3 linked regions of the Mytilus edulis genome follow. The protein of the gene in region 1 purifies or fractionates together with the protein of each later gene. This does not show direct contact. Links are inferred from orthologs where the notes say so. Each region holds a gene or a part of one and is shown in the gene's direction. Other genes may lie near its edges. The genes, in order: heat shock protein HSP 90-alpha-like, activator of 90 kDa heat shock protein ATPase homolog 1-like and serine/threonine-protein phosphatase 5-like.

Region 1 (10,729 bases):
GAAAACTCAAAATCAGCAGTTTTAATTTCAGATTGAAAATCTTCTGTTGCAATTTCTTCAAGGTTAGGGTCAAATTTATGCTAGATTGACAGGACTGAATGTGTATTAATTGTGAATTTGAAACAGAAAAATTATCAACAAGGAGCTACCATTTGATTTTTATGGGGGGGCTAGGATGAAATTTGAAAAAAAGGCAGGACAGGATTTTGAGTTAAAAAAAAAAAAAGGCAGGATGAGTAACTTGGCAAAAAAAAGTCAGGATAAGCTAAGGAAAAAAAAGGCAGAATAGACTGAAAAATAAAAAGGCAGGACAGAGATTACAAATAAAAAAAAAGGCAGGACACAATTTTTCATCCTAGCCCCCCCCCCCCCCCCCCCCCCCCCATAAAAATCAAATGGTAGCTCCCTTACTCCTTTCCAATGAACTATTTTAGAAAAAAGGACGAGACGTTCGTTGACATACCTGGTTCATCAACTTTCTGCTCAGAATCAGGTGACGTTTAACGAAGTCTGAGTAGGAGTATATCAGCTGCAAGCTTTTGAATACCGAATACGTTGGAACTATCAGTGTATTGAAGTTGAGTATGCAGACTTCACTCATAATGTGCAGAAAACATTAATTGTTGGTATTCATATATGAAATATGTACTTCAATCACTTGATATACAAAATTTAAATACAAAGATCAATAAATTAATTAAATTTGTAAAATGTAAACTTTGTAACAATTTTAAAACATTTTGGTTGGTCAAAAGATCTGAAACCTTATCACAAGGTAATAGTAAATTAGAAAATTATTTCAACCTCAATACTGACTTTGTAAAGGAGACTTATTTATCAATTAACGATTTTAATATAAGAAGAGCTATATGTAAAATGAGAATAAGTGCTGATGATCCGCTTAGAATTGAGAAAGATAGATATAGTAAAAAAATACATATAGAGAACTCAACGTCTATGGCATCACTGCTTATCACATGGATCAAACTCTTGAAGATGAGACCCATTTTACAGTAAATTGTCCTTTATATAACGAACAGAGGAATTTATTATCTGATAAAGTTAACACTTTTTGTACTAATTTTAAAGAACTACCTAAGGATAAGAAATATTTCTGGCTGTTCACAAATGAACATTTACCAACTCTCATGTGCCTAGGAAATTACATTATTAAAGGTTTATAAATAAGATCCAGATGTAAACAAAATATATGAAATAATTTTGTATTGTTATAAGATTTAAGATGATAGTTATATAAGACACATGTTGTGTCAGGCTCTGATCCTGTCCATATCGTTATAGTATGGTATTATTTTTCTGTTTTGCTTTTTCCAATCATATTGTCATAATAGTGTTGTAAAATGAGGCCCTTTATGCGTTCTTATTAGATTAATAAAATTCTTATTTTATCTTATACTTAGACAGGCCTGTCTCATTAATGTGTCCTAAATCTTCGTCCTCATAAATTTCGAACAGTATCGTAGGAGCAAACTGAACACATGGGTCCTGAATAACAAAAAAAAAACCTTTTCTATAGTTTACTTTCCTAGACGTTTATATTATCATTTTGTATCATTCTAAATTATTAACATTTGTTTTATCAGCAATCAAAAATGCCTTTCATAGAGGTGGCGTGAATTAGATGTGCATGGATACTCAAAAAAATCTTTTAGAGTACATACAATCTAAGACTCTTTCATCTTGCAATAGTATTAAAACATTTGACTTTTCTACACTTTACACAAGTATTCCCCATTCCAAACTAAAAGAAATATTGAAAGAGTTCAGGTATTTCACACCCATTTTTTTATGGAAATATTCTTTATAAAGCACAAAAATGTCAGTATTCACCTCAGAAACTAACAAAAACCTTCAAATAGACTTATTAAGAAGGGATATAATTACGATACTGTTGTCAGGTCTTTAAAGATTGCATATTTTGGCGTTAATTTTGATTCACTTATAGGGTCTTTGCATCGGAACTAAACACATTTATTCAAAAATCAGTTGATGGCATGACACGGGTTATGTTCTTCTCCTATATGTTATGATGGTATGATACTAAATCCCTAACTGGAAGGATTGTGCCTGATATTCATATGATGAAATCATAATCTTTCAATCAGTTTAATTGAAGGCTGAAGCTGGCATTCAGTTAACTGGTAGTAGTCTGTTGTTATTTATGTATTATTACATTTTGTTTATTTTCTTTGGTTACATCTTCTGACATCAGACTCGGACTTCTCTTGAACTGAATTTTAAATGTGCGTATTGTTATGCGTTTACTTTTCTACATTAGCTAGAGGTATAGGGGGAGGGTTGAGATCTCATAAACATGTTTAACCCCGCCGCATTTTTGCACCCTCCGGGTGCGGGAATTTCTCGCTACATTGAAGACCTGTTGGTGACCTTCTGCTGTTGTTTTTTTCTATGGTCGGGTTGTTGTCTCTTTGACACATTCCCCATTTTATTGGTATTGATTTGTTTCATAAAAAAGAATGTCTAACGTAGATACAAGTATCTTGTCTTAGGGAGGGGATACAACCTATTTTATAAAGAATCACTCTGATTCAAACAAAAAATTCTCTGCAACTGACATTATCAGGATGCTTGATTTCTTGATTGACAACATATTTGTCTTACGTTTGGAGGATGTGTTTTCATTAGACCGTTGGCATTCTGTTGTGCGGGAAAGAGGGGGAAAGCGCAGACTAAGGCGGTTGCTTCCCCTTTCCCGTTGAAGGGTTTAAGTTGTTGTTGGTTTCTGTTTTACATGTTTCTTTTCAATATTTTAAGTACGACGACTTGGGGAACTATCGTTCACGTTCTTTCGAGGCTTCCTGGTGAATAAAACAAAGATGTCAATATATGTTTATTTCGAGTCCAACCATAGGAGTAAATTAATCAAATACATCAATATGAAATAAGAGAGTTTGGTTCTTAAAATGTACTTGAATTAACATTTATCAAAATATTTTATTGATTAATTAAAATAGCTTATCATTATATTTATGGTAACTTTAATAATACTTAGGATTTCTGTCATAAAATTATTACATTAAACGATTATTAAGGTTACGTTATGTTTTTCATTAAACAAAATTTGTGAGTTTACGAACCTGGTGAATAAAACAAAGATGTCAATATATGTTTATTTCGAGTCCAACCATACGAGTAAATTAATGTTTGATTCCTTAGGGTTTCCTATTTTAAACCCCAAGAACACGTGCTGGTTGGACTTGTTTTATTCACCAATCAAAATGACTTTTAGAATACTTATTTTTATAAGGACATCTATTGGTTAGATATCTTTCTATCTAATTTGCATTTTTGCATAAATTGGGGTTACTATTTTTAATTACTTAATACTTTGTTTTTACGACCATTACGGAAATCGGATTATTTTGTTAGATAGAATTCTAAGTGAACATTAGAAAAGAATTAGACATATTTGCTAAAGGAAATACTTCTAAGAGTTTAAGCTGTCAAACCTAATTTCACATTTTTATATATATTAAAAGTTACATAACATTATAGACTTTCTAATTATATCTTTTTATACGAAAAGCTTTATACAAGAATTAGTTATTTTCTACAATTACAAAGAAGATTCACTTAGTTTTATATGAAATATTAAAATTTATTTCTTTAAATATTTTACCTCATTTTACCTTCATTATAATTCCAATGGGAACCAATAATACCCCTCTTCGTGCCGACTTGTTCCTTTATTTATTATTATGAGGCCGACTTCATACGGGAACTTCTTAGGAAGAAAGATCAAGAAAGATAAGAAGTAATCAATATCCTATAACTTTACTTTCCGCTAAATAGATGATGTTCTCTCATTAAATAATTCTAAATCTGGTGACTATGATCAAGGAGGTTATATTATAATATAACCTCCTTGCTAAGATGAATGCATCTATCCCATCGAACTAGAGATAAAGGATACAACAGATAGTTAAGTCTGCCTCATATCTTGACTTACATCTAGAAATTTACAATGAGGATCAGTTGAAACAAAACTTAAGTAGAGATGATTCCAGATTCACAATTGTATACATTCCATATCTATATATATGTAGCAACATTACAGCAGTGCCTGCATACGGGTATATATCTTCCAATTGATTTGATAAATTTTACAGACGTCATCACGAGTTGGTTGGCCATTATGGAATAAGGGTTTCACAGATGATATCGGATATGTTCATTATGTCGTAACTACAACCCCCTGCCCTTTTCACGAATGTGACCTAGCGAATTAGACTATTTACCGGGTTTGTAATAACATGAGCAACACGACGGGTTCCACATTAGGAGCAGGATCTGCTTACCCTTCCGGAGCACCTGAGATTCGGCATCCCCAGTTATTTGGGATTCGTGTTGCTTAGTCTTTTGTTTTCTATGTTGTGTCTTGTGTACAATTATCTATCTGTATGTCTTTTTCTTTGATTTTTATGAACAATGTTTACAGAAAACAATTGAAAAATTATGTCTTACAAATGACCAACGTAGAACTCTTAGAACCAACTTAGAACTTTTTTCATTTTTATCAATTTTATTTTAATATGTTTTTGTTTTGTTCACACCTCGCTGTCAATATAATGGAACTAGATGCGACTGTCATACACGTGAGAGGTTTAGCCCTGGTACCTTAATTTGATAACTATTTACACCACTGGGTCGATGCCACTGCTGGTGGACGTTTCGTCCCCGAGAGTATCACCAGCAAAGTAGTCAACACATCGGTGTTGACATGAATATCAATAATGTGGTCATTTTTATAAATTTCCTGTTTACAAAACTTTGACATTTTCGAAAAACTAAGGATTTTCTTATCCCAGGCATAGATTGCCTTAGCCGTATTTGGCACAACATTTTGGATTATCAATGCCAGGTTTAATCCACCATTATCTACGTAAGAAAATTTGTGTACCAAGTCAGGAAATATGACAAATATCCATTCCTTTTGATGTGTTTGAGCTTTTGATAATGCCATTTGATTAGGAACTTTTACTTTGGAACTTTTCAATTTTCAATTTTCCTCGGAATTCAGTATTTTTGTGATTTTACTTTTTAGCCGAATGTTCAATCGGAAACAGTTACCTGTATATATAAGTTGGGGATAACATGATTTCATATATAACTCTTACACCAGCACATTTTCAACTCTAAACCCCAAAACAGGCTTTCCAAGTAATAACGAAGATGGTTTCCCAGATCCAGAATGTTTACATCAAATCAGTAGTGCTCAACAATTGTTATTGACAAAGAATAAAGGACAGAAACATCTTAATTAATATGCATAGAGAGATGAGTATCTTCTTGTTCTACAATTACATAAAAGGACTGTCAACAAACTAAGCTTAGGAGTGGAATAATTAAGTGCAACACTTGCTACAGGTAAGGTTGGGGACATTGTGCTGATAAAGAGCAACCTTTCAAAGTTGAAAAATTGGGTGTATATGTCAGTTAGTAGTAGCCGAGATGGTCAAATAAGATCTGGTAAATTGTAAGTTATCTACAAAAACATTAAACCGTGTTCAGAATATGCTAAAGAAGGTTTATTGCATGGTAAGTTCGATTTTTTTGTTCAAGAATATTTTATATCTGTCACACAATATATTTTTGTCATCAAATTGGGGATCAATTTTTGTTTTGAAAACAACCATAACCCATCCCCCCCTTTTTTTTTCTTTTTTTTTTTTTTAAATTAAACGGTCTTTCCCTTAATGAGGATCGACTTGACAGAAACAGATTACGGAAAAGGATACTGAGATAATATATGACAATGCTTTAAAAAAGAGACAACAAAGAAGCGTGGCCTAAAGTACAATGAAGAAGATAAAATAACAATTGGAAACATACATGAAAGACTTTCGTTGGCCTCGTCAGTGTTGCTAATAGTACAGACTATAGATTGTTTTCCCTCCAAATACCATATAGGGTCCATAAAAGACATAAAGAGCAGTACACACTTATGAAGATATTAATTGACTTTTATCTGACATTGTCTATTTAACCTAAACTGTAACGTGAATGAATCGTGCTAGAATATCCTAGATGAGATGGATAGACTAGTGAAAGTCATTGTTTATATTTATGTTTCAGAAAAGTGGAATTCACCTTGTTACTAAAATAGAAATGTTCTCGTTATTTATAGATTTTTCTAGATTTAGAATGTTCTTTTGATTCTCGAATCGTATATATAGACTATATATAAAAAAGCGCAGTTGTATTTGTGAATAAAGATCATTGTAGAAATAGTAGCGTCAGGAATACTGAAATAAAGGTATGTTTATAGAGTTTCTAAACATATTCAATGTTTCAATGATTTTTTGAAAGTTGTTTTTTTGTTGTATATTATCTGATTCTGACTGTGTCCTTCAATAAAAAAATGAAATGAATAAAATTTTGTATGTACTTGTAATTATCAAGTGGGTGAAATAAAAGGAAGTCAATAGGTATAATTTGTATTGCCTGATATAAATATTTTTTCAATATATTACAAAATACAATATATCATAAATAATTAAATACACAAATGAAAATACATAAACATAGATATATAACCAAATTTTTTGGCAAACATCCGCCAAGCCTGCAAGGCCGCCAAAAAAAATTAAAGATAAAATAATAACTATCAAAACAGTTATAATGATGATAAAAACCAGACATACTATCATCACTCTTTTTCTCACTTCAAATAAGCTCCATCCTTTCAAAATGTGTATAGATAATGAAAGGACAAAACAGCAAACCAACTCAAAATATATGTAGATCTTGAGTAGTTAGAGGAAAACCAGCATCATATTCAGGATGCAAGTTCTCTGAAAAGAGAAAAAAGAATAATTACAGTAAACAATATACATGTATGAAGTAAATAAAAAACACAATTGTAACACATTACAATTTATATACTCTGATGCTTAATACTATTGATTATCTTTTTTCTGAAAAGTTCTGTACCAGCAAAATTCAAATGAAGCCCATCTCTCGGAGCAAATAAGGAAGCATCTGGAATATTGTCGAGTAAGAAACTCCTATACAAATTACAATATAATAAATTATTTCTTTTACACAATCTTTTTAACTCAGTATTAACTTTATTAACTTTAGCTCCAGTTTTCATGTGATCAACTGGTCTAGGAAGAATAGAAGTAAAGATCAACTTAGCAAATGTCATCTTTTTTAACTTGTGAATTAAATCTTCGAAATATGATATAATAGTATCTACGGATTGAGACGAAGAAATATTATTAGTACCAACATGAACTATAACGAAATCTAATGAAATTAAATCTACTTTCCCAGATGAAATTAACTCAGTAAGACGACCAATAGTGGCACCAGGAAAGGCCTGAGTTGTACACCCATCTATTCCACTAACATATTTAGGTATGGACGCTGACACAATGGTCGCCCTTTTTTCAAAGAAATTCCCTGTAAAAATTTATAATAAAACATCTGAAATATGTGCCGTCATCTTTTCTGCTACTGAAATCTTATCATCTAATGAAAATTTTAAATATCTTTTATAAGCATCGCTTTTCCTATCTCCGTACAATTGAATTAATTCAGTAGGTACTTCGGCTGCAAAAGCCCAGCTAGCCCCCCCCCCCCCCCTCGCCTAAAACTATGTGTAGAATATGAACAAGCATCTAAACCAATCTCAGTAATTAACTGTCTCAATATTGTCTGAAATTGTCTATACGTGACAGGTACACATAATTTATGTTTTATAAAACAATAAGCTGAAAATTTAACAAGGGAGGAAGGGTGGGTCATTTCAACGTAATATCAAATTCAAAAATGTAAAGAAAACACTTTGCAATAGTATAAATAAACAATTAACAAATAAGGAAAAGTTTATATCCAATAAAAAGAGCGAAATAATATAGTGAGTAAATTTAATGCAAGAGTTTATACTAATGAAAATCTAGTTTGAACCAGTGTGATTACTGAGGTGTAAAATATAAATTTCACTGTTTTGCTAATTAAATAATTTAAATCTTAAATTAAACCATATAATGAATCGATCTATAACCAAGTACCAATTTTGGACATTGGACCCAGTGGCGGATCCCGGGGGGGGGGGGGGGGGGTTCTGGGGGTTCAAGTGGAACCCCCTTTTTTGGACGATCAATGCATTTGAATGGGAACATATAGTTGGACCCCCTTTTTGTCCTGTGTTGGGAACCCCCTTTTTAAATGGCTGGATCCGCCCCCCTGGGACCATAATAACAAAAATAAAGGTCCAATTTCAAATTTTTCAGGTTTTTTTTACCACATCATTTGCTGTGCAAGAAACATATGCTGTGTCAAATATTTAATCACGATCTAAATTCAGAGATTGATTGCCTGATATTTGATCAGTATTCATTGCGTAACGTCCAGTGGAAAATATTTCATGCATGTTCAGGAGGAACATATATTTGATCATATTTAGAGATGTTTTAAGCTTGAATGTAGTGTCCATACTTGCCTTTACTAGTTATCGTTCGCGCGGTTTGCAGTCGTTTAAAGTTTAACTTATTCATAGATGAATTACCGGAGTATTTACAAGAAAGTGCATGAAGACCCTGCTATACTTTTAAACGATAAACCAGTGAATTGCTATTGTATGCAGCTAGACGACTTAATTAATTGGTCCTTTGATCAACATCTGTTAATTAATAGACTGCAAACAAGACTTAACATCCTGGAAAATACACATTAAAAAATAAATATAAAAAACCCAAAGGTTCGGATATTCAACAAAGCAGGTAGACACATTTGTGAAAAATTGTCTTATGAAAACAATTTGGTTGAGTGTAAACATCTTGGTTTGCACCTTGGTGCATCAGGGTCATTTTCATTTGCTCAGACTACACTTCATAAAAAGTCTTTGACGGCTTGTTATAAATTGTCACGATAAGTATTTGATATCACTTTATCATAGCATAAGTACCAGTTATGTGACCATACAACCAATTCAAAATGTGAACGACTTCACATTAATTTTGATTTAATTTAATTGTTTAATATGTTCATAATAAATCCACAAATTTAAAATTTCATCCGGGCTAGCTAGGCATTTCCAATCAGTATATGATGACATAAAACAAAATCTTTTTTGATTCACTGGTGTCGCTAGGACAATTTTGATTTCAGATTTTCTCTTCTCAAAGATGCGTATCATCACACAATCGTTTAAAAAAAACACCACACACAACATCTTGGTATGCATGGCTCTATGAAGCCGTGATTTATTGAAACACCCAGTAATCAATCATATTGCTTTATTATCATCACAAGCAAAATAAAAGCTTCAAAGGTAATATAAAACAAATGAAATCGTATGTTATAGATAGGGGCAAAAGTAGTATACTGCTGCCCAAAAGTCATAAATCAAATCAAAACAAATCCGGTTTACAAAATAAAACCGAGGGAAACACATTAGCTCAGTACTCCACAGTAAGAAAATAAAATTAAAATCATCTATTCCTAGCTTTCTACTACATGAACCTAACAGTTTGTGTCATACATGTTCATATCACAGTGGCGGATCCAGAAATTTTTATAAGTGAGGGCCAACTGACTGCCTAGGGTAGCACTCCACAGTTAGGTGTGTAGTTTCGCATTTTGTCCCCTGTGGATTTTTCAAATATGAGAGCTAGTGTGCAATAAAATTCATTTTTGGATAGCTGAGTATTAAAATAGCCTTTGTATTGGGTTTATATGAACATCAAGAGTATGTAATGTATGTAATATAGGCTGTTTTTTGTATGACAGTCCGTATTTGCATGTCCCTACCATACATTGGTCCGGCAATTATTGTAATGTTTTTTTCCAACTTTTTATCGCACGAACTTTGTGATTGGATTTTACGAAAAAATGAGGCGAAAGACACCCATTTTTTATTTGATCATTAGGAAGATTTATGAAAACAGTTTCTAAAAAGGTATTACTCAAAGGCATTGAAATTCTAGTTTGATCCAAATTTTGGGGGGATATGTGACATGTCCACCCCCCTTTTTGCAATATTTTATGGTAAATAAATGCAGAATGTTGCCATGGATACACATAAAAGGAATTTATTTTCACTCTTTTAACTTTTGAAAATCAAATCTATGGAATATACTGATTACATACATATGCACATGTACAACACAAACAGTTAGGTTAAAGTATTAGAAATCCAGGAATAGGAGATGATAAAACATTTTGTGGCTCATTTTTAATTTTATTTTCTAACTGTGGAGTGCTACCTAAGAAGGGACCCGCTCCGGTCATGCAGAAAAAGGCCCAGGTCCCGTGACCCCTCTTAATTCGCCTCTGTATCAGCATCTTCCATAGATTACACAACAACACACGACGACAACTGAATTACAGGCTCCTGACTTGGGAAAGGCACATACATAAGCATGCTTGCGGGCGCCCAATCTGGAATTTGTTGTTAAAGCGGAACATACATCAATAAAAGCGCTATTCCAAACTCCCCGGCAGTTCCAGTTCCGATCCGCATACGGGCCCGAATACTACTCTACACTAACAAACTCCCCGGCAGTTCCGGTTCCGATCCGCATACGGGCCCGAATACTACTCTACACTAACAAACTCCCCGGCAGTTCCAGTTCCGATCCGCATACGGGCCCGAATACTACTCTACACTAATCAAACTCCCCGGCAGTTCCAGTTCCGATCCGCATATGGGCCCGAATACTACTCTACACTAATCCCC
Region 2 (10,556 bases), about 42 Mb from region 1:
AACAGGTTTGTTACAGTTCAGTTTTTAAGTTACTGAATACATTCTTTAAAATATTTGTTATCTTGCCCTTTGTTCAATAGAAGGATAAAGTTGCTCGCTAGTACCTTTCATTCATTTGTCGTCCTGAATAACTTAAGGATGTACTTAGGTGAGGTTAGGTAAAAATTAAGAAATTAAAATTGATACTATAAGCTGGTAGAGCATCAATTAAGGATAAAGATAAGCTAAAAATAATGATAGGTCATAGACCTCCTTTTCGAGATATTTGAGATTTAAAATATGGCAGGAAAAGGCTGACTCAGGCTTTTACCTTATATTGCATTGGTATTATTTGGGTCTCAAAACAAAAGAAAGAAAATCAAGAATCTTCTAAAATTTTGATAAATGAGCTATTAAGTCTTATATGAAAAAATGAATGGGTGTTATGGGGCAAAATATTTTACATTGTATTGTATGGAAAAACACCAAGGAGTCCGAACATTTGATACAAATTCCAAAACCTCACCTAAGTACATCCTTAATAAAACTTTACCTGATCCCTGAAGCCTGATTTTCCTTCTTCAAAAAGCTTGTCAGATTCATCAACAATCAACCATTCTACCCTGTCAAACAAAATACAAAGAGAATTTTAATATCAAATCTTCTAGTACATTTTTATTCTGATCATTATAGTATCTGGATATCAAATTTTTATAAAAACTTGTGGTACCATAAACAAAATATCTAAATGTGCATTTCTGTCCATGATGTTGAATTTCTCTTGCTAATTACTATTATCGCTATTTTACGAAATTTTCCTTTGACCTTACTGACTGATAATTTCCTTTCTCAGCACAGCCGTAACGGCTCAATGAGAAAATCAATCTCGTTGAGATAACCAACCACAATCTATAAATATTTACCATGACAATATATGAGTAAAGCTTTCATGACATAGCATTCTGTTTTTTCTATCAATTGTAAATATAAATAATAAATCTGTTTTAATACTTACGTGTGTAAATCTATCTGAGGTGGATCTTGATTTAACTGATATATCAGTCTGTTAGGTGTTGACACAAGAATATCTGCAAAATATAAGTTTGCTATTTATAACAAAACTATTGTTGTGTCCCGAAAAAGTCAACAATATACCAAAGACATGAAATATATTAACAATCTGTAGAAAGACAAAATTATCAACAAACAAGAATGTGTCCCAAGTACACAGATGCCCCATCCGCACTATCATTTTCTATGTTCAGTGGACCGTGAAAATGTGATAAAATTTCTTATTTGGCATTACAATTAGAAGGATCATATCATAGGGAACATGTGTACTTAGTTTTAAGTTAATTGGACTTCAACTTCATCAAAAACTACCTTGACTGAAAAACTTTAACCTGAAGCAGAACAGATGGATGGACAGACAATTGAACAAACAGACGGATGCACAGGATAGAGAACCTAATGCCCATAAATGGGGCATAAAAATCTAAATCTGATTTAATTATTAACAGCCTATAATAAATATTTGTGATATGTTTGATCAAGGGAGATAAATCATTTTGTTTCATATTTGATGTTATGACTCTTGTTAGCACTGTCATCTGATCGTACAAAAGCTTTTTTCATAGTTTCAAACATGAAGAGTTGACAAAGGTATTGATGTTTAAAAAAACTTAAACCACAGACTAAACCTGAATGTTGACAAAACCAAACACAAAAGATCCCTGTGTATCATCTTCAGCAACAAAATGGTACCAGCTCGACAAAAATATGAATCTTTAATTGAGCAGTAGTCATTCAATACAATAAAGTCACATACCAAATTTCTTTACTGACTTCCCTTCATTTTCTGGGACAGTCTTATCTATATAATGTAACTTTAGACCAGTTCCATCTGATATCATTTGAAAGTCTCTGTAAATCTGTAAAAAAACAACATGCACCATTATTAGTATGACAGATATAACACCACTGATAACTTTGTGTGTGTATATATATATAGATCTAAACACTCACAGTGACTGTAATTAGTGAGATACAATAATGCTCCACTCAAGACAGTTAAAAACTTCAAACATTCCGAATTTAACTTTCAGGATTAGAGAATATTGTATTGCATGAAATTCAGGGATGGGATCTGTTTCTCTAATGATTTTTTGACAAACTTTATCTGTCTTTTCTAATGATCTGCAATAAATTTGTTTTTAATTTTGTGATGTCATCAGGTAGGATATTGATCATTACTTTCATCGAGAGTTTAAAGAAAGTTTAATTTCAGGAATAAAAGTTGAAATGTTACTAGCTACTGTTGTAGCTCCACAAAACACAAAAAAGAAAGGTTTTGTCTAAACTTGACTCTTCAGAATGAAAAAAACATAACAAATATTTTTAAAGGCATTAGCATCCAAAAACTTATAAAGAAGTAATGATTAAAATAATTTGAGTCTATTTACTTGTTTGGCTAATTCCCTGGTTGGTGCAAGCACTAAAGCTCTGAACCCATGTTTGCTATGTTTTCCTAGATGGTGTATTATTGGTAAGATAAATGCTGCCGTTTTACCAGATCCTGTCGGAGCACATGCCATAATCTCTCTTCTCTGTAAAGCAAAAAATAAATTGTATAAACCGTTTACTGTAAATACATATGCTATCTTTATATTTTATGCCATGTCATGTCCAATAACAATGGATTTGAAGGAGGAGAGTTGAAACCTGAACTAGAACTCGAAGAGTACCAATCAATGCACAAAAACCTAACAGCAAGAATTACAGCAACCCAAAGACATAAATAACCAACAGGTCAACATACAGTTATAAAAAATAAATAGGCTACTTTACAATATGGCAACATTTAATTACAATAATTCTTTTTGAATGTACATATATGACAGTACTTTTGATGCAACACAAATAATGATTTTTTTTTATTTTTTTTTACATATGTCTGTCACACATACTTGTATCATTCTTCCTATTTAATTCATTATTTTGAAAAACTATTAATTGCTCATATATCTATATAAGAAGATGTGGTATGAGTGCCAATGAGGCATCTCTCCATCCAAATCAGAATTGTAAAAAGTAAACCATTAAAGGTCGGCATTCAACAGCCTTGACTCGTGTGCACCGAACAGCAAGTTTATATATATTATATAAGTAAGCTTACATGCAGCATGGCTGGTATAGTCTGCCTCTGTATTGGTGTAGGTTCTGTGTACCCTATTTTAGCAATATTTCTCAGGATGACATCTGACATTTTGTAGTTGGTTACAAGATCATCAAAACTCTTCAATGGTTCTGGCTTATCAGTTCCATAAATATGTATTTTATGTTGATTTCGTATTCTGTTAACCTGAAAATCAGTGCAATTTTAGACTACAATGTATTATATTAATTAAGGTTATCTAATTTGAAAAGGTTTAAAGTTCAGATTAAAATTTCAGCTTCTCATGATAGTGCTGACCTGTGATTGGCTATTATTCTGTAGCTAATTTAAAATTTCTATTGTCTACTGTTACGCAACGCAAGACAATGTTTGTTGAAGACTTAACCAGTTATCTCCTTTCAGTTTTATCTACAGAAGATGTCAGGGACTGTCTAAATATTATTTAAACAAGTCAAGCCTTTTAGATGAAAAACAATAAGCTATGTTCCTTTGAAAATGGAATCTATGGGAATTATATTGTCTAAAATGTGATCAATTTACTCCTTCATTCAAATATAATTTTTCTACAAATAATATCAGGTATAAGAGAATACAGGTATGGCTTACCTCCTCTTGATGCAGTGCTGCTAACTTTTCCTTTGTTTTGACTTTCTTTTTCTTCTCCCTTCTTTGTTCTGCCCCTTTAGATGTGATTGTCCCAAGTATCTGTAGCTCTGTTTCAGGCTCTGGCTCTGATGTACTGTCATCTTCAGAGGAGGAGGAATCGGATTCAGAATTAGATTCAGATTCAGAATCTACTGTAAATAAATATAAGATATTATGAAAATTCAATAGCACAGTAAATTCTAAATTTCTATTTTGATGCAAATGAAGAACATTTCTATGTATTTATGCATCCCTGACTTTGGAATGGTTTGGTTTTAAACTTTACTGTACAAGCATGACAAATGAAAACTCAAAAATAAAACATTATTTTCACGTAGACTGACAGTCAAATTAAATACATTTTAAACAAATGGTTCATGAGGATTTATTCATACCAGCAAGATAATAATTTTTGCATTAATGTATGATAAATGTGTCTTCTAGTTACCAAGGCTGGCAGAACTCATATAAACTATTAATCAAAATTTCACTTCACATGACTGCTTGTTTATACATTTCACACAGGAAAATCAACACCTCTTAGCCCCTCTAGACATTAGCCTTTTTGTCATAGTCCAATAAGACTGTATTTCTGTACAGTGTCAAGGTTATATAAGGGGGTAGTTTAATATAAAAGCCAAAATATTACATTTAAACATGAACATCTTTCTCACCAAGGTTACAGACTTAAAAAGCAGGCAAATTCAAACAAATGCTTTATAATATAATAGTTTATTTAATACTGACACTTGTGCTCTCTGCAGTACATATATTCAACATGTATATGAATGATGAATGATGTATATGTATCTCAGAATATTTTTTTAGGATCAAGAATTTTTTTATTCATAAAAACGTAATTGTTTACATAAATAGTTTTAAATCTTAAGATTTTTTTTAATGTATGCATATAATAAATGGAACTAATATGTACCTTTAACCTTTTTCAATAGAGCTGTACTATTTTCATGAACATTTTTCCTTTTCAGCTCATTTGTTTTTTTTCTGTCTGCATTCTCTAATGTTGTATTTTGGAAGCTTAAATCCTTAGAAATAATCTGGAAGTAGAATAATGGAAATATTGTTACATATTTTAATCTGAACCACATCTTCTACTGACAAATGAGAGATAAATAATCACTGCATTTTAAATAAACAGTTGCAGCAAGAGCACATGATACACTCTTATTGTGCATATTGACATTCTTGCAAGAAACACCACTAACCCCTCCAGCACTGTGAGGGTAAACTTAAAATCCATGTACACTCCACTCCTTATCATAACTAATGGAGATGCATCACTTCTGTATAAACAACATTTTTTACAGGGCAATCCCCATCCTTACACAAATTGAGTGCTAGGACACCAGGAAGTCTATTATGTACTTGGAAGAACTCCTGGGTCACTCGGCTGAAAGAGAAAAACTGGAGATATATCAGATGATTGATCTCCAGGTCAAAGAAGGGGATAACTTTGACCAAATGAGGCCCCCTAAAGTACACATTCTAGTTTAAACTCAGAGAAGTGTACTGAAAATTTCTAGCACCCGAGTCAGAATCCAACCATGGGGACCTTCAGTACTGAAGCCATTGGTCATAATCACTAGACCATGAACCCGTTCTAAATAAAAAATAATTTTTATTAATTAATGGGAATTGATTTTTGATTCAAATGAGTATTGAGTCCGTTCGCTCAGAGTCTGTTCAAAGTCATGGTAGAAATTGTAGACTGAATCAGGCCATTCAGGGTTTCTTTTCAGTAATCTGATGTAAGTTTTTTTTAGTGAGAGCCGTGGTGTAGTGGTTAGTGCATCGGACCACTAACACAAAGGTTCCTGGTTTCGATTCCCCTTTCTGCGTTGAAAGTTTCAGGGATTGAATTTTCGGCTCTCCCTTGACACCATTTGCAAGTATGGTCTTGAGGAAACGATGATTGTCTGTCGGAAGGGGACGATAAATGGCTGACACGTGTTAAGAGAGAGCTGTATCTCTTGCACGTTAAAGACACCCTTGTAGATTTCGAAAAAAGAGCAGGTTAATGCAGCTACAAGGCAGCACTCCCACACACAAAGACATGGAAAGGGATTAATATAAGTTGCAAAACTTGTTTCCAATCCACTAACAATAAATATATATGTTTAAAACTACAGTAAAAGGTTTTTTTTTTTAAATCGTCCATATGACATGCCTTTAGTTTCTCTGCATCCTTTCCAAATCTTTTCAAATCAAATTTAGCACCAACTCCAAGCTTTCTGAACAGCTGCAGTCCCTCCATGCTTGCTGTTTTAGAAATCGGAAGTAAACAAAAATTATTTTGTGGTATAAGAGGCTAGTTTTCCTAAAATTGTCTCCCTTCAATTTATTTACCAGTATAAATTTTGCTATGTTATCTCATTGACCGTAAACCAGTTCTTCTCGAAATTTCTCCCCATACGTAGCGCTTTATATCTACTTCCGTTGTTTATTCCAGAAACAAGTTATCATATAACGTGCACAGGCCTAACTTCTTGAAATTCCCTTTAAACTCATAATTTTGATAATATGGCTAAATGGGGAGAAGGAGACCCACGGTGGATAGTCGAAGAACGTCCAGACGGAACAAATGTGAACAACTGGCATTGGTATGAATGTTTAGGCATTGGCCATTGGCATTGATCTTAGTTTGTGAAACTAAACTTTTATGAGTTGAAAACGAAATAACAAAAAAGAGCTACATATGTCAGAGTAGGCATTACCCTTTACTGTCATGCATCTACAAATCATTTTCCATCACTGTCAAATTGTTTAAAATGTTTACCAAGATTCGTTAAAATATCCTTATCCCGATTTGTCAGAGTTCTAAATTAATCATTGTTACTGTTATTTTTGTAAAACTATTAACATGATTAGGCAAAATCAGTCATTTTTTAATTGTCCTTCAGTGATCGGGAAGTATGTGCGCCAATGGACAACTTTTGAGTTCGATGCATTTGAGTTCCGTCGAAAACTTTGGTTTTAGTGAACCTCATTTGTGCGTTGATGTGCGTCGTTACTTCCATTTCAATGTTGAGCGAGTGGTTGAAAAACTAAAGCTACATTGCACAAATTATTCGGCAAATTAAATTCTCATAATTGACAATCTGCACAGCTATCATTAGGGAATTGTGATTAAGTACAGTTCAATTTTCGCGAAAGCCATCCCAAACTCCAAACACCGAGTTTTTTGCTGGTGTGACACCAGGAAACTCCGACATCACTCCCTAAATTGTCAGAGAAATTTGGGAGTATTCCCTCCGACTTCCGCGTAAATCCGTTACCTTTTGTTTATTGTATTAGCGACATCTCTCCCAGTCTGGAGTGACGCGGTGTCACACCAGGTAATTAATTGCCCTAATCCTTCTGATCTATGCCGGCACTCGACAGTCAAGGTATGCGAGATTTCTAATGTAATTAAACAATTGTATTTCCTGTCTATTGATTATCAGGTTATATCTGATTGCTTGAAACAAATGAAAGATTAAAATAAAAGTCAAAACGTTGTTGTTAATTCTTTCAATTACACTGTACATTTAAATCAAGTTTAAAAAAAACTATATTTGATTTTGACTTCCGTTTTTTATCAATAAATAAATATTTAATTTACTAAAAGAGATATAATTGTGTAACAATAAACGGAGACTAACGTTGAATAAATAAGAACAGTTTAAAAAAAAATTACACGTCTCAAAGTTTTTTATACAAGTAAAAAAGAAAATATTATTCACTATCTGTTATGCTAATAAGTTTCCATTTCCATTTTACGATTACAAAATGAAAGTTTTAAAAAGCAAAAGATTGTTGTTAATGCTTTCAATTGCAGTAAAGTTTTATAGAAACAAATCTATACTTGATTATGATCTCTTGTTCTTTTTATCGGTAATTTATATAATATGCGAAAATAGACATACTTTCGTGAAAATAGACGAAAATTAACGCTGAAGTTATAAAATGTAAGAAAGAAAGAAAATTACGTGTCTTTAAACTTGTATATGCAAGAAAAAAAGAAAATATTATTCACAATTCGCTATGCTTAATAAGTCTACAGCATTTTCTCTTCACGATTTGTTAGCATTTACTTTAGGATAAATAATACATTTCGGCTACAACAGGAATACTTCTATAGCTGCATCAACTCGTCGTTGCATAATATTCATTTACGCACAATGAATGTAAACTTTTGTGTTGTATTTAGAACAGTAATCTTTAAATATTTCTAAACCAATAAATTGCCGTGGGAAGACGATACGCAACTCAGTGATCAACAGTGCGTGGTTGAACTTGAACTTGACTTCGCTCACAATATTGAATGCTAAAAATAGTGACATCAATTTTGTCCACGAGATTTTTATTTGGCGGGAAATAGTATCATGTAACAGTTAACTCAGGTGACCTTTCTGGATAACCGTGGGAAAATTCATTCAAGGTTTAAACTTGCTTTGTAATGATTGACATAAATTTGTGTGCGTTAAGATTGAGGCTCTAGAAGGTCCTTTTACAATTGATTAACCGGATTCTAAATTATATTCCTTTTCTGAATAAACCAACATCAGCCTTTTATTTTTACATTTCTCAGTCAACAGAGGACATAAAACCGGACATTATTTATACGTCTATAGTCAACACTATATATTAATGATATACGAAAACAGGATGCATGTTCATGATGGGCGTTGGTAGAGACCTCTGTGAAAATTTGGCGATCGTTAAAATCCGATCTAATTTTTTTTTTACATATTTCTTTCTTGTAGAACACGATATAATTTCATTTTAATATTCTATTGTATAAATTGTTGAACTTCTTCTTTTTATATTTCGCCGAAGAGTTTTAACGAGCAGTAAAATACGGATTGCGCCAATCCAATTTTATTTTAAATAATTAAAGATCAATAACAGATTAAAAACACAGGATTTCTTTTCTCCATATAATTAAATAAGGTTGTGATTATTGTGTTGTGTCTTCTCAGTATTTATGAATATAGGGCTGCCACATTGCATACAAAACTATTTGTCACTTTACAGTTTCTTTTTAAAATTCAAATATTTCAAGTCGGAAATTTTATTCTACCGAGGTAGTGAAACATAATATTTTACATTTCAAAATAAATTGAAAGTAACAGAGTTCACTTGTTGATTCGATAAATTAACTCTTGGGTTTAATTTAGATTGGACAAATTACCGTAAAAACATCATTTTGTTTTAAGCCAGTTGATATTAATTTTATAATATTGAACTATTAATGAACCGAATATTGCTCACTGAGTAGGTCATTAAAGGTTCTAATTGTGGTAAAATCGTCTTTGTTGAAAAAAACAAAAATTATGACCTGATCGGACTATAATGAAAATACAAAATAAGTGTTTTATTCGTATTTTTATACGACCGCAAAAATTTTAATTTTTTGGTCGTATATTGCTATCACGTCGTCGTCGTCGTCCGAATACTTTTAGTTTTCGCACTCTAACTTTAGTGAAAGTGAATAGAAATCAATGAAATTTTAACACAAGGTTTATGACCACAAAAGGAAGGTTGGGATTGATTTTGGGAGTTTTGGTCCCAATATTTTAGGAATTAGGGGCCAAAAAGGGCCCAAATAAGCATTTTCTTGGTTTTCGCACTATAACTTGAGTTTAAGTGAATAGAAATCTATGAAATTTTGACACAAGGTTTATGACCACAAAAGGAAGGTTGGGATTGATTTTGGGAGTTTTGGTTCCAACAGTTTAGGAATTAAGGGCCAAAAAAAGGGCCCAAATAAGCATTATAATTGGGGTTCTTTGATATGCCGAATCTAACTATGTATGTAGATTCTTAATTTTTGGTCCCGTTTTCAAATTGGTCTACATTAAGGTCCAAAGGGTCCAAAATTAAACTTAGTTTGATTTTAACAAAAATTGAATCCTTGGGGTTCTTTGATATGCTGAATTTAAAAATGTACTTAGATTTTTTTTATTTTTTTTTTTTGTTTTTTTTTTTTGTTTTTTTTTTTAATATTAAACATATTTTATTAACAATCACCTGTTACATCAACCCTCAGTTGCCCAGGGAAGCAACTAAGGGGGCCCCAATTTTTACAGTCTCATTTGTCGGGGAAAAGCAAATGAGAAAAAAACTCCCACTATAAATTATTAACATCAACCTTTATAAATATTATCTATCCTTGTACAAATGTACATGTACCTGCAATCAATATCGATCTATATATCTAGTACTTAGATTTTTAATTATTGGCCTAGTTTTCAAATTGGTCCAAATGGGGGTACAAAATTAAACTTTGTTTGATTTCATCAAAAATTGAATAAATGGGTTCTTTGATATGCCAAATCTAACTGTGTATGTAGATTCTTACTTTTTGGTCCAGTTTTCAAATTGGTCTACATTAAGGTTCAAAGGGTCCAAAATTAAACTAAGTTTGATTTTAACAAAAATTAAATTCTTGGGCTTATTTGATATGCTTTATCTAAATATGTACTTTGATTTTTGATTATGGGCCCAGTTTTCAAGTTGGTCCAAATCAGGATTCCATATCAAGTATTGTGCAATAGCAAGAAATTTTCAATTGCACAGTATTGCACAATAGCAAGAAATATCTAATTGCACAATATTGTGCAATAGCAATTAATTTTCAATTGGAGTTATCTTTCTTTGTATAGAATAGTAGTTGATAATATATGTTGGAAATTTGCCAGACATGACTATGATGTCATTTTCTATTTTTATTTGCCAATAACTTTATGTAAAT
Region 3 (11,104 bases), about 72 Mb from region 1:
TTTAAGCACATTGACCATAGTGAGTATGCTTAAATTTGTTTCAGGATATTGACCATAGTGACTAGGTTATACGATTGTTTGATTGTTTAACTTCACTTTGAGGACACCCAGCTACATAAGTGGTAGAGAGTGGGAAAGCTGGTGATCCTGGATATAGAACCATCAACCTCTCATCAGGAAAACTAGTGCAGTTGACAAAAAGACTGAATATTTAAAAGCTTTTTATCGATTAGAAAATAGACAGGTAACCAATGGATTCAACATAAAATGTGAAGACGAAGTGAAACTTCTCGGTGTAACAATAGACTTTAAACTGGATTTCAACACTCACATCTCAAATATTTGCAAAAAAGCTGCACGACAACTAAACGTTCTAAAAAGAATTGGCACTCATCTCACCAGACTTTCAAAACTTACAATATACCACTCATTTATCATGTCAAACCTCAGCTACTGTCCTCTTACATGGCACTTCTGCAGTGAACAAAACACAAAGAAAATAGAAAAAATACAAGAAAGAGCACTCAGATTTATTTATGACGATTACACAAATTCTTACAATACACTTCTTGAACAATCTAAGCTACCAGCACTAAAAATCAGAAGATTGAGAACCATGGCATTAGAGACATATAAAATAATAAATAAATCAAGTCCAGAATTCCTACATAATTTAGTAAATATCAAAGAAAATTCATATAACTTCAGGTACAAAGGCATAGCAGATATACCACGGCCAAAAACAACAAGGTATGGTAAGAAAAGCTTTAGTTATGAGACAGCAAAACTCTGGAACTCCTTGCCAGATGGCCAGTTCAAAAATTTTATCTCCACCTGGTGTTTTTCAGAAAAATGTACATGCAGTTCTTGTAAATAATGTACTTACTTGCTGCCCCATAACTTGATCTCGAAGCCTGCTGTTTGTTTGCTTTTTTTTTTTATGTTTTATCTTTTTGCAGTTATTTTTATTTTTTATTTAACCATTTATTTCTTTTGCTTATGCATTACCTTTGCTATAGCTGCATGCAGTCTTTTGTTTGTGCTTAAAGTGTTTAAGTTTGCATGTGCTATTCTTATATAAATACTATGTGCTACTATATATGTGCTGATATTAGACATTTGTTTTAATATATCTTGCTTAGCTTTTATTCTGCATGTGCTATCTGTGTATTAATATATATATGTGATGTCTGTATGTTTGTGTTGTATGTGTATCTGATGTTATTACATGTATGTTTTGTTCAGTCGGTTAAAGAGCTCTTAAGAGCTCATGTTCTTTGTTATTATGTATATATGAAACCCCGACTTTAAATAAAGATTACTTTACTTTACTTTACTTTGTACCGAAGGTACGGATGGTTCTCTCTGGGCACACTAGCTCCTGTCGTGTTGCTCGTGTTAATGTAAGGTGATACTCTTAATCGGTAATAAGAGGACAGGTGTGTGGTTAACATAAGAATATATCCGACTTCATCTGTGAAACATATATTCCATAACGGTCAATCAATTCGTGATGGTGTCCATAACATTGACGAAAGGATGACCTCAACTTTGCCACTTTAAGCCCTCATCTTGTTAGCAGGAACATTCACCAGGAAAACCATAAAAAGAAAACCCAAGCTCTAGAATATCGCAGTCGTATCAACAAGGAGACATTTCATATGCGGGCACTGCTGGCATGTCGCTACATAGAAAAATGGAAAGCTCACAATGAGAGTCGGTTGATAACAACACTTTTCAACAAAAAAGATGATTGATATCAGCTTTCCCAGTCTATGAGGCAGACTTGACTCTGCTGCATCCTTAATCCAAAGTTCGAGGCGAAATCTTCTGTACCTAGTCAATAAACATTAAAGTACCATTTATATAGCGAAACGTGAAGTATGAAGTCTGCATAAACTACAATAAGGAATCAAATTGACCAAAAGAGGAGAACAGTGGGTTTCCATGGGAATTTCGATTGATTGTTGAAAAACGCCCAAACGTAACACATGTGTTGTCCAACAATTAATCAAGCTTTGATAATGTCAATTTTAGACAATTCTTTTGGAAGTAGGATTTATCTCTTTCTTAAACAAGTAAGTATGCTGGCCATCTTATTTTATGAAACAACACTTATTTTAATCGGTTAGTAAGTTTGTAAGGTGTAAAATAAGTTTAAAGGGTAGCAAAGTTCAATGTTTTATTTATACTATTGCAAAAGGAAGAGATGTTCATGGTATGTACTTCAACGGATCTTAGGAATATTATTTTTTTATAGAATCGACATCTGATGCCCAAGAGAGTAGGGATTTTATAGAAACTCTGCAGCCCGGTTTGCATTTAAAACTAATGTTAATAGCTTGGAAAGAGATTTCGTTGTAGATCCAGCATAATACCGTTATTAAACAGGACAATTTTGAAAGGTGTGGCATCCAATACAATGAAAAATTACCATAGATAGTTGAAACTCCAAAGTAAAATAAAATATACCTTTCATTATCCAGGATTTCCTCTTGGATAAATTTCTTTGATGGTACATATTAAGTTCCAACTGAATTATCAATACGTGATATTTTATCAGTTTATTAAGCAAAATATGTGATGTGATTTACACTCAAACTCGATATTGTTTTGGGCTTTTTCTAAGGGGAAAATTAAATATGTGTCACTATACAATTACGTATACTAACTTGTACCTGTTGTTAATGGTAATGTGTATCGCAATTACCTCGCAGCCTTCATCCATATTGAAAGAGCATCTAGTACGCCTGTTCTGTAACGACTCATTGAAATGTCAGCAGGCCAAAGGAAATAGAGTGACAGATATCATATATTTTCTTTATTATTAAGATTTATGACCCCTTTTGTAGCTATGTGTATTACAGAAATAACATCAAAACAGCAAAGATAAAGAATAATAGAAATATAACATTTATTACATATGCCAAAAGGAAACTCTGTTCAGTTATTTCATTAAGAGGGGCACTAGCTACGAGATATTTAAAAAAAATCAAAATAAAATTTAATGAAAGTGAAATAATATTTCTCTTTTAGCAGTCATAAGGTTCAATTTCGTCAAAATAAGCTTTCAAAACTCGATCATGAATTACATGTATCACTTACAAGGGAATAATCACACCTCATTAAAGAAATCATTAAATCTGTATTCATGTGACCTTAAATTTTTTGAAACTCCTTAGCTAGAGAACCTAGAAAAATCCAATTGCACGATTTTCCTTTATATATATATCTATATTTATGGCCAACGGAGATCTTCGAAGATCAACTCGATAGTTAATTAGACTGCTTCTAGATTAAAATACACACGAAACGAAACTACATATTCTCGAGCCAATGATTGAGATGGCCCAACGCCGTGCAGCACGCTTTATCAAGAGCAATTACTCAAGAGAGCCTGGAACAGTAACAACTCTTCTAGAAGAACTAAATCTAACACCACTAGAAATAAGAAGAAAAATAGCACCTATAACGCTCTTTCATAAAGCCATCCATTAAAGAGTTGCTATACCTATTCCAACGCACATTATAAAACCAAGAAGAACGTCGAGACTCCATCAACCAAACACTAAAAGATACGTACAAATCAGGCCAAACAAAGATATCTACAAATACAGCTTTTTCCCTAGGACCATCAGAGACTGGAATAAACTACCAGATGAACTATTAGAGATCGAGAGCAGTGAGGAATTCAAGACCAAACTCACCAAGCTCCTCTGTAGTGGATAGCAACACAGTCAATCGATACTAGTAGAAAATGTTTTTAGCACAATTTTGGAACCATTGGTTGTAAATATAGAAAGTTTATTGTCATGTTGAAGGACGTCAAAAGTTAAACTATACTTGAGTGATGGGTCGAAGTACCCTTTTCGAGTGACGACATAGAAGCTATGTCGTAGATGTAGATGTAGAATGCCCTGTAAATTGTTTATTTTAGACTTTTTGTAATTTGAATAAATGTTTTACATTGTTAAGAATAAATATGAGAATTTGAGTCAATTCTTTGAACATGAATTTGAAAGTTAGTGCCCCTTTAAACAAACCTAGAAAAATCCGATTGCACAAGTTCGCCGCTATCATTTATATCTATATTTATGTTCATATCGCTTATATGACCATCGGCAGTCTACGGAGGTAAACTTGATAGTTAATAAGATGGCGCCTTGGCTCAAATGCACACAAAACGATGATTCATATTATCGAGCCCATGCCTTTTAAATTGTTTTTTTAAAGACTTTTTTTGGCAAATTAAACTAAGGTTTTTGCAGAAATTCCACAGACTTTAATACATAGATTTTCGTTAGAAATAGAAAACATCAACTGCTCACTTGTTTGTCCATGATGTTTTAACGTTTATTTTTTTTTTTTAAGTCCTAAACAACCTTTATCATTCCACAAAACCTGGTGCTGTGTCATAAAAGTCAAGCGAACCCTAGAATGTGGTCCATATTTACATTTGTTTAACCCAATATCTTTATTTATAAATATGTTTTAAGGAAATCATTGCTAGCACTGCATGCTATCCTCTCAATATCAAGTATCAAAGGAGTAGGTTCAGTAAGACCCCTTTTTGGCCTCAAAATATAGCAGTTTTAGAAAATTGTGAAAATGTAATCGTTTAGATATTTATTTCAAAGTAGAATGCTTCTGCTACATAAATATGGGCTATTTTTGACAAAACAATGCACATATATCGGGTACTAGCATCATTAAGTCATGCTAAATTACTGAAATCTTCACAATTGTAGCATTTTAGTTAAATTTTAGACGGTTTCCGTCTGATATGAAAGTGGCCGCATTCGTGTTCATTCATAATATTGAAATGCAAGTTGTATTTGATGATAATACATAATATATATAAAGGTTGAGGATGAACACGGATGCGGCCACTTTCATTTTTGACTAAAATCATCTGAAAAGTGACGATTTTTGGCATATTTGATAGATTTTTCATATTTAAGCTTGAATCGGGGCGTTTTAAATGACTTATAAAGTTAAAACCTTCCCCATTAACTAATTGAATCAATTGAAAAAGACACTTTAAGTGTTTAGAAAGTGTCTAAAATCTTTCGTTAGATGAACTTGAAAATTGAGGCCGAAATCGGCCCTTACAGGACCTACTCCTTTTCAAATAATAGGGAAAGGCTGTGGATTTTAGATAAAATCTCTACCTGTTTAGCATTGAAAAACAAAAGGGCACATAACCTAAATCTGAAAGTGAAAAAAAATAAAAAAATACACGACCATTAAATTGATTGGTTAGTTTTTGAGGCCCCTCAATTGGGGGGTCTAGGTAGTCACATTTATATCGCAAATTTTTTGCCAATATAGTCACATAATCATTAATTATTTTTTTAAACAAAATAATCAAATAATTAAAAATACAGTCCTATTTTATCAAATAATCATGAAATATTTTGTCTGATAATTAAATTATCACTATAAAAAGGCAATGAAATCACAAAATAACAATAAAAAAACAACGAGGAGACTCGTTTTTAATACCGCTTTAAGCACTAATGTGCTAATTCGTGCTTTATATAAGTTGAGTAAGCAAGAGTGCCCTGAAAGAACCATTGATCTTCGGTAGGAAAACTGACAATCCGGGCTTTTTTGTCAGTTTATAGGATTGTGGATTCGGGCGCACCTGCCACGTGCGGATCGACTAGTAGAAGTGCACAATAATAGTTGATTGCAATATCAATCCACCGAATTTGTTTATCAAAAGGTTAAGAATTATGATGAGATAATCTAATGTATTTGTTGTTGATATAATCCGTGTAGTACTTTGCAGGAAGATTTTTTCATTTTCCGAGACCAAGAAAATTGTAAGCCTGCCCTCCATACAAAGTTTTGTAATGAGTTCTTTCCCTTTGATGTAACTCTTTCATGTTACTAAGCATGGATGCTGAAAATGTGGAAGAGAAGGAAAAAGAAGAGGAAATACTGAACAAACAATCACCAGAAGAACTTCAAGCAGAAGCAGAAAAGCTGAAAAATGCGGCAAACGAGTTTTTCAAAAGTAAAACAATATTCACAGTTATCCTTACGTATTCTTTGTCAGTTCTGTTTGTGCAAAAGATCAGATCACGAGTCAAAGCGAAATGAATCCCCAGTACTTTGGGATCTGTCACATCACGCTATTCTAAACAATACTAGTGTAAAATTATATTCCAGTAATGTAGCAGTATTTCTATATTTCGTATTTTACTGCTCTGGTATTATATAATGATCACCAGGTAGGTCAAAAATGAAGACTAAATTAAGGATGGTGGCAAGTAATTTTGATTTTCTTGTAAGTCTTCATTTAATGATTATTTAAAAGATGAATCTATTTATCAGACTTTTCTAATACTACACACAAACTTTACAAGTCTACACATCTAACTTATATAGGCTCAATTAGGCTTAAAATTATTATCTCCCTTGGCAAATATTTCAGTGATTTTTGGGGAAAGACGGCTTCAAGCCGTCAATCCCCTATGGGATTGACCAGAGTGACACTCCCTCACATCATTCATTTTGATTTTATACATGTTATAGTGTGGAAAACCCCCCAACAAATCTTACTTAGATTGAAGAGAAGGAGACCCAGAAATGAATAGTTTGACTTTAAACACTTTTTTACACATTTCCCTTCTGTTTCTCACAAAATTATCGTATCTTGAACTCTCCTTTACACTATTAACGCTTATTCTACAATCCGGAAAATAGTATGACGAGATATTCTAAATATATCCAACCTACATTGCATTTTATAGTGACGTCATTCTTGGAAGGTATCCGGTCGTTCCGGCCCCAAACCGATCCGGCCCCAAGTCAATCCGGCCCAAAGTCGATCCGGCCCAAGTCGATCCGGCCCACGTCGATCCGTCCCCAAGTCGATCCGGCCCCATAATAAAATATGAATAAAGTATATTCACTTGGAGGAATTTGTGACAAATTTGAACAGTATAAACGGAATTAGCGAAAAGTGTCGATGATGGATGACAACAGGTAGTAAGTGAAGTATTGGAGTATACTAGTTAAAGAACTATTTTTAATCGATACGAAACTGAGTGTTATTGTGTCTCTTTTTATAGCAGCTCTGAGGGGGGATAGGACCTTTATCTGGACTCCGGATTGGGTGTTTTTAAGCTCAGGATTTCGGGATTGACCCTTTCGGGATCTGGGAATTCTTTTTTTCGAATTTCGGGACCTCGGGATTTCGTGTTTTTAAGCCCGTGATTTCGGGATCAGGACCCCTCCTACACCCCCTCCCCCTCAGCTCTAACATATTTTAAAAAGTGAAGATATTTTCCATGTTTTACTCATCATAATGTCTTGTGTAACCAAATCATTAGTCTAGAATTGGTTTGTTTATTCAACAATTGTCTGATGATTGTGAACTAAGGTGATGTCACTCGTAATCACTTAATTCAATCAAATCCTGATTAATTAAAGTTACGTAATCAACAAGTTCTTTATAGTTTGATCTTTTGTTTGGTGTATATAATAATAATTAATTGTATTTATATAATCAGCAAATCAAACAACATTTCTCAATTTGAGAATTTTTAAGAACTTTAAAGAAAAACAATATTTGTGGTTATGTATCAGCTTGGGAATTGGCTTGTATCGTTGTGTATGTAACTATTTGTTATTACACAAGATGAAAGACTTGTTAGGATCACAGTCAATTGAAAGAAAATGCTAAATACTGCTGATTAATGTTGATGTTTGAATTCTTTATATACGTTTTAATATAATTATACCCAATAATCTTGAAAAGTTGTACTAAAAACATAATCAACCTAGTTGTTTTATACTCACATTATAATAAAAATCATAAACATTTATGAATTACAATTAATATATATCTTTATTTTTATTCCTTATAAATTTTTTTTTTATTGGGGCCGGATCGACTTTACATATGGGCCGGATCGACGTGGGGCCGGATCGACGTGGGCCGGATTGACTTGGGCCGGATCGACGTGGGGCCGGATCGACCCGAAAGCTTCTTGGAAGAAGCAGGGATATCCTTCACCAGTTCACTGGTTTAATATTTCAATCATTCTTAGAGATCGTGCACTAATTACAAATTTGTATTTGTTAAATCTAAACATAATATTGTTTACTGTAGATGATTTAAACATCAACATACAATACTTTAATTTGTAGGTCAACAACTTTCAAAATCAACAAAGATCGTGGGGTTACATGAGACAGGGGAAAGAAATGATTTTATTACTTTTTTCGAGTCCTACTAATCAGAGACAAGAAGCGTCAAAAAGCGACAAGAAGCGTCAAGAAGACTATTTAGCGACAAGAAAAAAATATTCTTCTTGTCGCTTCTTGTCGCTAAAATTCTTCTTGTCGCTAATTAGTCAGACCACTTTTTCTGTAAAAATTCTGAGAATCTTCCTCCAATTCAGGAGCACCTCAATTGATGAGTAATTATCCACTAAAATAAAAGTTAATGTATTTAAACACTTCAAATGTAACATTTCATTGGATTAGTAGTCTTCTATTAAAACTAAATTTTTGTGTACCTACATAATCATTGTAATGGTAAAAAAAAAAATAATAAAAATTTGCATTTTGTAGTTTAAACATATTTATTATTTACAAATATTTCAAAATTAAGATTTGGAAACAAGCTTCACACAGTTTACATCTCTCATATTGTTTGTTTTTATTAGTACCTGATTCCCTGTGATGAGAGTTATAACTCCGAACTTCATAAAATTCATTGGAAATTTAAAACTGAATAGATTTTTCAGTCCACACTTTCTAAAGAAAAAACCTAAAAATCCAAGAGAACTGTCACAAAAAATGGAAAATCGCCCGAGCCTGCAGTTCAGTAGTACACAATCAAGATTTCAGAAAATATTGTAGTTGTTGTGAAATGACAGAATTCAGTTGAGTTTTATAATTAGCTATCAACTTTAATCAAATGTTTAGATTTAGAAGATGCAGATCTCTTTCATTGGTCCAAATTGAATCCTAAACTAAGGAAATGAAATTACATAAACAACAATTGATTTCAATATTGTCAACCTTTCTACATGTTCTAGCTGTTCTCTTTTTCATTCTTCATATGAAAACTATCAAAAGATACCCCCCTCCCTTTCCAAAAACATAATTAAATAGAAACAAGGGCTGTCTTTCCCCTCAGAGCTATTCAGCTCTTTGATTGTATTTCTTGCTTATACATCATTTAGAAGCACAAGTTGAAACTTTGCAAACTTATCATGGAAGAGATGCAGATATAACTATGCATCTTTTTTTCAATCTGTAAGTAGTTTGAAAAAATAATCCCATCTGATTCCCTGACACAAATGCCTGATTCCATCCAAATTTTGGTAAAAAACGGGACCATTAATATTGTATTAATGGACTTGAAATATGAGTATGTGTAAATATTTTTGCCCCACAAGAATAAATGTGAATGACTTTTTTGTGGGATTTTCTCTGTTTAAACATTGGTCTACTGTATTTCTAACTCTTACATGTCTTAGTATTGCCACATGGTATTAATGAAAACATTGACCTTGAAGAGGAATGATTGCAGTATGAGTGGTAAAGGGGAAATTTACAATATCTTATTTTGATAGTTTCATTATCTAGTATTTCTTGTGTTCATAAATTTATAGAATTTTCATTGTACTTTTCTTTGCAAATTATTCAGTGCTTTTAATTATGTAAGGTGCATTTTACAGTTGTTGTTATAAATTACCTTTAAATGGTTGAAAAGTGGATATCTCATAGGGTAGCATACATGTAGTATACTTTGTTTTTAATTTTCCTTATAAAAGCATCGAAAAATATGTGTTTTTTTGTAAAAATTTTTTTTTTTTTTTTACCTCTTCAAAGAATGGAGGATTTTTCTTCATCTTAAACACATCTTTTTTGTACCCAAATATACAAAGTCATGTACATGTAACATACACTGAAACTGTTATATTAAAATTGATTAATTGGTGCATGGTGATTGCTTTACACTGCATCAGCACAAAAAGACTGTTTCACGGCTATAGATGAAACTCAAATAAACATAAATTAAAATGTTTTATTGCATTTTATGAGTTTGGACCAGGTAATAAACAAATTGTGCACATTGTCTCTCGTGATAATTGTGACCCAATTATTGATTAAATACATGTACATATCAATTATTGATTAAATACATGTACATATCAATTATTGATTAAATACATGTACATATCAATTATTGATTAAATACATATCAATATTGCTCTGTCAGACTAGAATAGACCATCCTTCAAGTCTATTATTTACAGTACAGATTGTACAATCATCATAATACATCTTTTCTAAAAAAATCTAGTTCATGCATAGTAACTTATCTTTGAGACAAAATTTTCAGAATAACTGTATGTAGTGTAGATCGAAAGTTACAAACAAATAAGTACATGTAGCTCCTGGCCAGTATGGTATAAGGTTTTAACCCATTTGTTGGTCAGTCTGTCATGTCTGTGCATCAGTCCTGTTCTTGTTATTAAAACTCAACTGAAATTTAAACCACACAACAGAATTTCATGAAACTTAGCAGTTGAAAGGGACATATTATGTAGATGTGCATATGGACAGGAAATTATGATTCTATTTATCTAGGAGTTGTGCCTCTTTGAACTTAAAATTTTGGCCTTGATATTCTGATGCATCAATTTGTTGACCCTCTGAAACCACACAATAGAATTTCATGAAACTTTGTAGAAAATAAGGACATAATACATGTATGTCACAAGAAATTATTGTCAGTTGACTTAGTTAGAGTTATGAGTCTTTGAACTTGGGAATCTAGTGAGATTTTTTTTGTCACTGTTAATGAGAAGACGTGGGGTATGTGAGTGCTCACAAATATTCTTTTATTCATATATGTGTATATTATACACATGTATGAATAAAAGAACACTAAATCTATTGAGAGGCATACTTAAATTGCGATAAAAGTTTTTAAAAATTTGCTCAGAAGTATCCAACTGTTTCTTTAATATGCCTGAGAAGTTTCAGACTGTTATTCCACATATTAGTGCAGAAATGAAATTTCTTGTGGGCATGTTAAAGTTTTTTTATTAGCTCATTCAGTCTAGTACCA

What was found.
Region 2: the proteins of heat shock protein HSP 90-alpha-like (region 1) and activator of 90 kDa heat shock protein ATPase homolog 1-like fractionate together in Caenorhabditis elegans (co-fractionation; 3 studies listed by BioGRID, with this or other methods). This does not show direct contact. The link is inferred for Mytilus edulis from reciprocal best matches to the Caenorhabditis elegans genes hsp-90 and ahsa-1.
Region 3: the proteins of heat shock protein HSP 90-alpha-like (region 1) and serine/threonine-protein phosphatase 5-like fractionate together in Caenorhabditis elegans (co-fractionation; 3 studies listed by BioGRID). This does not show direct contact. The link is inferred for Mytilus edulis from reciprocal best matches to the Caenorhabditis elegans genes hsp-90 and pph-5.

Annotation. Positions count from the first base shown.
Region 1 is NC_092346.1:2,378,070-2,388,798, reverse strand, and holds the start of heat shock protein HSP 90-alpha-like, read left to right. Parts: upstream 1-6,161; 5' UTR 6,162-6,298; intron 6,299-10,729. UniProt on the Caenorhabditis elegans protein: Molecular chaperone that promotes the maturation, structural maintenance and proper regulation of specific target proteins involved for instance in cell cycle control and signal transduction. Undergoes a functional cycle that is linked to its ATPase activity.
Region 2 is NC_092346.1:44,561,176-44,571,731, reverse strand, and holds the start of activator of 90 kDa heat shock protein ATPase homolog 1-like, read left to right. Parts: upstream 1-6,206; 5' UTR 6,207-6,340; coding exon 6,341-6,420; intron 6,421-10,556. Other genes in the region: probable ATP-dependent RNA helicase DDX52, read right to left, coding at 533-602, 995-1,067, 1,808-1,910, 2,442-2,585, 3,155-3,340, 3,761-3,951, 4,734-4,857, 5,988-6,074.
Region 3 is NC_092346.1:74,709,159-74,720,262, forward strand, and holds the start of serine/threonine-protein phosphatase 5-like, read left to right. Parts: upstream 1-5,853; 5' UTR 5,854-5,889; coding exon 5,890-6,022; intron 6,023-11,104.